Cricetulus griseus: one gene and its partner. The protein of the gene in region 1 purifies or fractionates together with the protein of each later gene. This does not show direct contact. Links are inferred from orthologs where the notes say so. Each region holds a gene or a part of one and is shown on either strand. Other genes may lie near its edges.

What was found. The genes of interacting proteins can lie anywhere in the genome.
Region 2: the proteins of transcription factor Maf (region 1) and Usp5 purify together in Homo sapiens (affinity purification with western blotting; 3 studies listed by BioGRID, with this or other methods). This does not show direct contact. The link is inferred for Cricetulus griseus from reciprocal best matches to the Homo sapiens genes MAF and USP5.

What each region holds. Positions count from the first base shown.
Region 1 is NC_048596.1:192,288,669-192,292,188, forward strand, and holds transcription factor Maf, read right to left. Parts: upstream 1,896-3,520; coding exon 789-1,895; 3' UTR 626-788; downstream 1-625.
Region 2 is NC_048601.1:21,600,120-21,603,344, reverse strand, and holds the end of Usp5 (ubiquitin carboxyl-terminal hydrolase 5), read right to left. Parts: intron 3,213-3,225; coding exon 3,059-3,212; intron 2,872-3,058; coding exon 2,787-2,871; intron 1,243-2,786; coding exon 1,149-1,242; 3' UTR 584-1,148; downstream 1-583. UniProt on the Homo sapiens protein: Deubiquitinating enzyme that participates in a wide range of cellular processes by specifically cleaving isopeptide bonds between ubiquitin and substrate proteins or ubiquitin itself.

The sequences.
Region 1 (3,520 bases):
ACTCAGCACGCTGCAAGGTCTATAGCATTTCACATTTTTTTTGTTTTGTTTTGTTTTGTTTTGTTTTGTTTTCCTTTGCAAGCTCAATCTCACAGAAGAACTCAGAAGGAGAAAAAAAAACCTGCTGTTCTTTTATCTCAAGAACATGGTGCAGAGGGAATGAGGGTGGAGGTTGGGAAACACGGCAAGCTCCAAAAAACAAACAAAAACAAATAAAAAAAACAAAAGAAAATCCAAACAAAATAAACACACACACAGAGAATGAACACCAGCTCATGAACTGAAAAAAGAAGAAAGAAAAAAAAAAAAATACGGGCGATTGATGGCCGGATTCAAAGGTGAGCTATGTCCTACATGAAGTACTCTGCTCAGATCTTTGACCCTTGTGCAAGTCCCGGGTGTGTATGTATCTGTGTGTGTGTGGAGCGGGGGGGGGGGGGGTGTTTTAAAAAAAAAGAACAAAACAACCAAGCTAGCAAGTTATGGGGAATTCAGGTTGGCAATCCATGAGCCAGACACCCCTCCCCTCCCCAATTCAAAACAGTCACCACCACCACCACAAGTTTGGTGTGTGTGTGTGTGTGTGTGTGTGTGTGTGTGTGTGTGTGTGTGTGTGTGTGTCCGTGTCTGTGTGTGTCTCTCTGTGTGTGCAAGGCCAAGGGGAGCAAACTCGCCAGGGGAGGGGGCGAGGTGGTGGCGAGCGTGGCCCTGCAACTAGCAAGCCCACTCAGAAGCCGGACCCCCACGGAGCATTTAACAAGGTGGCTAGCTGGGATCGCGTGTCACACTCACATGAAAAATTCGGGAGAGGACGGGTTGTCGCTGCTTGAGCCGTTTTCTCGGAACCCGCTGCTCACCAACTTCTCGTATTTCTCCTTGTAGGCGTCCCTTTCGCGCACCAGCCTGGAGATCTCCTGCTTGAGGTGGTCGACCTGCTGCAGCAGCTGGTTCTTCTCCGACTCCAGGACGTGTCTCTGCTGCACCCTCTTGAAGCGGCAGGACTGGGCATAGCCGCGGTTTTTCAGGGTCCGCCTCTTCTGCTTCAGTCGGATCACCTCCTCCTTGCTGACCCCTCGCAGCTGCCGGTTCAGCTCGCGCACCGACATGGTCACCAACTGCTCGTCCGAGAAGCGGTCGTCGAAGTGCAGGCCTCCCGCAGCATGGTGCGGGTGCAGGGCGCCCCCCGCCCCGCCGCGCCCCCGCCGCCCCGCGCCGCCGCCCGCCTCCGGCGCTGGCCGGGCCGCCGCCGCGCCACCCGCGCCGCCCGCAGAGGCGGACGCGTTGCCCGCGGCTCCCGGGGCGCCGGCCGTCGGGTGGTGGTGGTGCCCCGCGGCGTGGTGGTGGTGATGATGGTAGTGCGGTGCCGCGCCGCTCTGTGCGGCGGCCGCGGCGATCACGGCGGACACCACGGCGGCGGCGGGGCCCATCTCCTCGCTGCTGCCGCCCAGGGAGGCGCCGGCGCCGGCCCCCGCCGCTGCGGCCAGCTGCTGTGCTCCCCGCGCGTAGCCATCGAAGCCACCCTGGAGCTGGTGGCTGTTGCTGATGAGTGCCTCGACCGCGTCCTCCGGGCTGAAGCCCAGCGCCTCGGGGTTGAGCTGCTGCGGGTAGCCGGTCATCCAGTAGTAGTCTTCCAGGTGCGCCTTCTGTTCGCTGCCCGAGCCCGGGCTGGGCGCCGAGAAGCTGGGGGACGGGGGCACCGAGCTGCAGGGCGTGCTCATGGGGGTAGAGGACAGCGAGCCCCCAGCGATGAGACGGCCGCACTGGCTGATGATGCGGTCGGTCTCCACCGGTTCCTTTTTCACTTCAAACTTCATCAGATCGAAGTCATTAACATATTCCATGGCCAGGGGACTGGTGGGCAGGTCGGAATTGTTCATTGCCAGTTCTGAAGCCATCCTCCTGCCTCCGCCGCCGCCGCCGCCGCCGCTCCGCCAGATGGGCTGCAGGAGAGGGGCCAGCGGGCTGTGCTGGGTGGCCAGCGGGTGAGCCAGCTTGCCGGGCTAGGGCGCTTCTAGCTCGCGCGGCGGTGGCTGTGGCCCGAAAGCTCGAGCGTGCACACACCCCCCGCCCTGCCCGCAGCCCCCGCGCCCGCCTCCCTCCCCCCTGCTCACGCCAATGTGCTCTCTCTCTTTTCTCTCTTGCTCTCTCTCTCTCTCTCTCTCTCTCTCTCTCTCTCTCTCTCTCTCTCTCTCTCTCTCTCTCTCTCCCGCTCGCCCCGGGCCCCCTCCTCGCCTGCTCGCTTCCCTGAGCTCCGATCCCGGGCGCTTCAAGCTCGGGAAGGTCCTCCGCAGCTAGCAGCGGCGGTGGAGATGAGGCCGGCGGAGAGGATGCCGGAGGAGCCCGGCCCGGTGCGCGGCGTCCCCGGCTCGCCGCTCCGCTGCGCGCTTTGCATAAGGAGGGCTCGCCTAAGCCGGCTGGGTTGCAGGCGGGGCGCGCGCAGCGGCTGCTCCGGGACTGGGTGGCGCGACGGGTGTCTGTCCCGGAGGTGCGGGCCTCGGCACCTGGGTAGTTAACACTTCTTCTCTCCTCTTCTGCCTGGCTCTTATGATTACTATTATTATTTTCTTTCTCCGGATCCCTCGCGTGCGCGCGCTCTCTCTCTCACCCTCTCCCTCCGTGCAAAGTGCAAGACCGAGGTGCAGGCAGGCCCGCAGGAGCAAGGGAGGGGGAGTTTAGTTCTTTCTTGCCTTTTTTTTTTTTCTTTTTTTTTTCTTGGCCTTTTTTTAAAAGCAAAATTGCAAAGTCCTGGGCCAAGGCGAGGCGAGAGCAAAAGGGTGGGGGGAGAGGCCGAGCGGACTAGCAGCCCGAGCTACAGCTCCAAGATGAAAAAAGATTTTAAAGCCTCTGATCCAGCGAGAAGAGTTTAAAGCAATTGCTGAGTTTTATAGCACCCGTGACGTCAGACTCAAATGGGAAATTGACTGGCACTCTCCTCCAATGGGAGGCGGCGAGAGCGGCCGCGATTAGCATAATAGTATAGAAACAAGGAAACTTTTCGGAGCTGTCAATCACAGCCCAATCAGCTGACTGTCAGCTGGGACAAGCTGGCTTAACCCTTGCGGCGCCGCTGCTCCGGCGCTGCCAGGGAGCAACATCCCCCACCCCGGCCCCGCTTGAAGTTTAGTGCACCAGGGGACAGAGTTTTCTAAAAGGGCGCTGGAATCTAGGAAGACCCGGGAGAACTGTTTGCTTTTCTTCGGAGCTCTAGAGAGGCCTGTCCTGCTGAGCCGCAGCTCTGGCGCTGCTGCAGAGTTCCTGAATGCTCCTGTCCCTTGCCGGTCCCGAACCCTGACAAGGTGCATTCATTCCTCTTGCAGTTTTCGCTCTTCGATCCTTCTTCAGCATCCTTCGTGGCTGTTGGGGGATGTGTGTGAGATGTGGGTGGAGTACCTCCTTTCCCTGAATCTGATGCTTCGGGGTCCAGCTTGACTCAACTCTTTGTCCCTCTCCAAATGAGGTGATCAGATGGGGGCGCCAAGGGTGCGGGGACCCAGAAAGCGAACGGTGCACTGTGCGCTTG
Region 2 (3,225 bases), on another chromosome or scaffold:
GATGTTGAGCCTCGCGCTCAGGGAAACCAAAGGGCTGGCAGCAATATGGCCCTAAACCAGTCTCACTGGGACTGAGCACCTCTCCAAAGGAGAGGCCCCCTTTCCCCACAGCACAAGGCAAAAAGCCATGGTCGAGGAGCCCTTCCAGCAATCACTAGGGAAGGGCCCAAGTGTTTCACAAACGTTTCGGGTGATTACTGGGTCCCTCTCTTGTCAGGTCTTGGCCAAATGGAGCAAAGAGTGGGATACACTGGCGTGCAGGAAGGGAGGTGGCAGACTGGCTGTTGTCTTGTAAAGCCTGTCAGCTAATACCATCTGACTGCCCACTGCCTGCTCTAGACCCTCTATTTATCCTGTAACACTGGGGCTGGACCAAGTACATGGTCAGTAGAGGGGGGAAGCAGCCACTTCCCCACCTCACAGTTTTCTGGGCACTTTTAGAACTAAAGACAAAATTCCCCAGGGTGGGAGGGTGGAGGCAGGGCAAAGGACCCCAGTTGGGCCTCTCTGAACCTGTCTGCCCCCCACATCAGTAACTTTACTCAGGGAAAGTAAGTTTGCCATGAAGAACTAAACAAAACCAGCCAGTCATTGTACTTTTATTCACATCATGTATTTTGGCATTTTTCCAGAGGACCAAAGACACAGAATGGGAGGCTGAGGCAGAAGAACAAAGGGGGAAGGTGTCCCTATTTCCCTCCTATCCTTCTCTGCCCAACCACGAGGGAGCAAACACATAAGGGAAGGGGAGGGGAGGGGAGGGGAGGCACAGTCGCTCCCTCCCCTGGAAGGATGCATAAAGCCACACCCACGCACACACAGTTAAGACCCCTCCCAACTCGAGGGGCTGGGTCATCACAGAGAAGCAGAGCACTGTGGATTCCAGGGGCAGGGAAAGGAAGCAACAAGGTCCCAGTGTGGACAGGCAGTCGGCCCCTTCCTGTCCCATCCCTGCTCTATCCCCAAAGTCTACTGAGTACCCCTTCTCTTTGCTTGGCCATTCTCCTACCGCCTCCAGCTCTTTCCGGCTGCTGGGGACAAAAGGAAAAAGGGTACAGAGCAGGGGGCTTAAGTCCATCCCTCAACCCCATCCCTCATGCCAGATGGTCTGTCCCCTGCCCGAAGTGGTAAGGGTTGAGGTCAGGCTCTTAGCTGACCACTCTCTGGTAGAAGTAGATGTAGCCCAGGTCCTTGGGTGGCTTTTCAGAGGCACACACTTTCTGGTCATTGTAGATCACCCATCTGGAAAATGGGGGAAGGGACAGAGAAGGAAGGATGAACAAAGTGGGCATCCAAGCTGTATCATGTTCATCTCTCAGGTGCCCACCTGAGATCTCTGAGGTGTTTCTGGGGAAGGATCCCAACTTTCATTTAATGCTGAGATCCCCAAATCTATAGTCCAGCTAGCAGTCTGAAAGGAACTTCAAAATCCCTTAAGAGTCATTTTCCATTTGGAGTCTTCAGATTGTTACTTAGAAACAGGATCCCAACAGCTCTGGCTATCCTGGAATACTATGTAGACCAGGCTGGCTACAAACTCAAAGATCTATCTATTTCTGCCTCCACAATGCTGGGATTAAATATGTATACAACTACATCATGCCATCCCCCCCCCCCAGCGTTTCTCTGTGTAACAGCCCTGGCTGGCCTGGAACTCACTCTGTGACCAGGCTGGCCTCAAACTCAAGAGATCCAACTGCCTCTGCCTCCTGGGTTCTGGGATTAAAGGTGTGCATCACCATTCCCAAACAGATTGTATTTTCAATAATTACAATAATTTATTTTGCACTAAAGTGTACACAGAGGTCAGAGAGGGTAGTTTTCTGGTTCTGGGAATCTATCTCAGGCTGTCAGGACTGAGGTAGTGTCTTTACTCATTAAGATCTTGTCAGCCTATTGCATTTTTTATAATCATCTTCCACCCATTCCTGTGAAGCTGGAGGAACCAGAGAGACCAACATTTTCTATCCTTTTACTTTTTAAATTTTATTTTATGTGCATTGGTGTGAGAATGTCAGATCCCCTGTAACTGACAGTTACAGACAGTTGTGAGCTGTCATGTGGGTGCTGGGAATTGAACCCAGGTCCTCTGGAAGAGCAACCAGTGCTCTTAACCACTGAACCATCTCTCCAGCCCCCTCCTTTTTCTTTTTTAAAAAAGGATTGTGTGTGTGTGTCTGTCTGTCTGTCTGTCTGTCTTTGGAGTGTATGCACATGAGTGAAGGTGCTCATGAAGGCCAAAAGAAGATGCTAGATCCCTGGAAATAGAGTTTCAGATACTTGTTAGCCTCCATTTGGTTGCTGGGAACTGAACCCAGGTCTTCTGCATGAGCTTAACCAATAAGCATCTCTGTAGGCCACCCCCACCCCTTTTGGTGACAGAGTCTCATAGAGCCCAGGCTCACTTTAAAATCATTCACCATGTAGCCAAGGATGAGCTTCAACTACTCACCTGCCTCCACCTCCAATGCTAGCACCGTGGCTATAAGCCACTACACAGAGCTACTGACTAGCATTTTCATTGAATAATTACAGTCTTTGCCACAATTATTTAACTTTACTGCTGTCGAAGGTGATCCATAAACATGAAATGACTATGTACTAGTAAAACTTCATTTACAAAAGCGGACAGCCAGATTCAGCCCTGGGATGTGGCTTGCCTATTCCTGGGGGGAGGCGTTTTTTTTTCCTGCCTTCTCCTACAAATATTCTAGGGACTTCCAGGTTGCCCTTCCTCATTCCCACCAGCACCTCTTCATTCACAGTGCATATTGCTAGCCACTTACCTGCCTTCCTTCTTGATGTGGCAGACATAGTGACCACACATAGTAGAAGTCCCCATGTGACTAATGAAGGCAAAGAGCTGATACTCTGGGGAAGAAAAGAAAGATAAAGCAGACGAGCAAACATGAGGTTCCTGTGTAGACAGCATTTAACAGCTCAAACTCAGGACAAGAATTTCAGGGAACATGGGGCAAAGCTTCTAATCCCTCAGACAGGAGGGCACAGTGCTGGAATGAGGGGCCTCAGGTTTGCCCTCATGCTGGGGGACACTTACTTCCAGGACCATCCCGGACTTTAGGTCCCACAGGTACAGATTCAGAGATGGAGTCAGCAGCTGAGCGTCCCTCTGAGATGTCCATAGCAGCTTCTGCATCTAGGTCATCAATGTGACTGAAGATCCAATCTACAGCCCGTTCTAAACTATTGTTCTTGGAGAGGAGG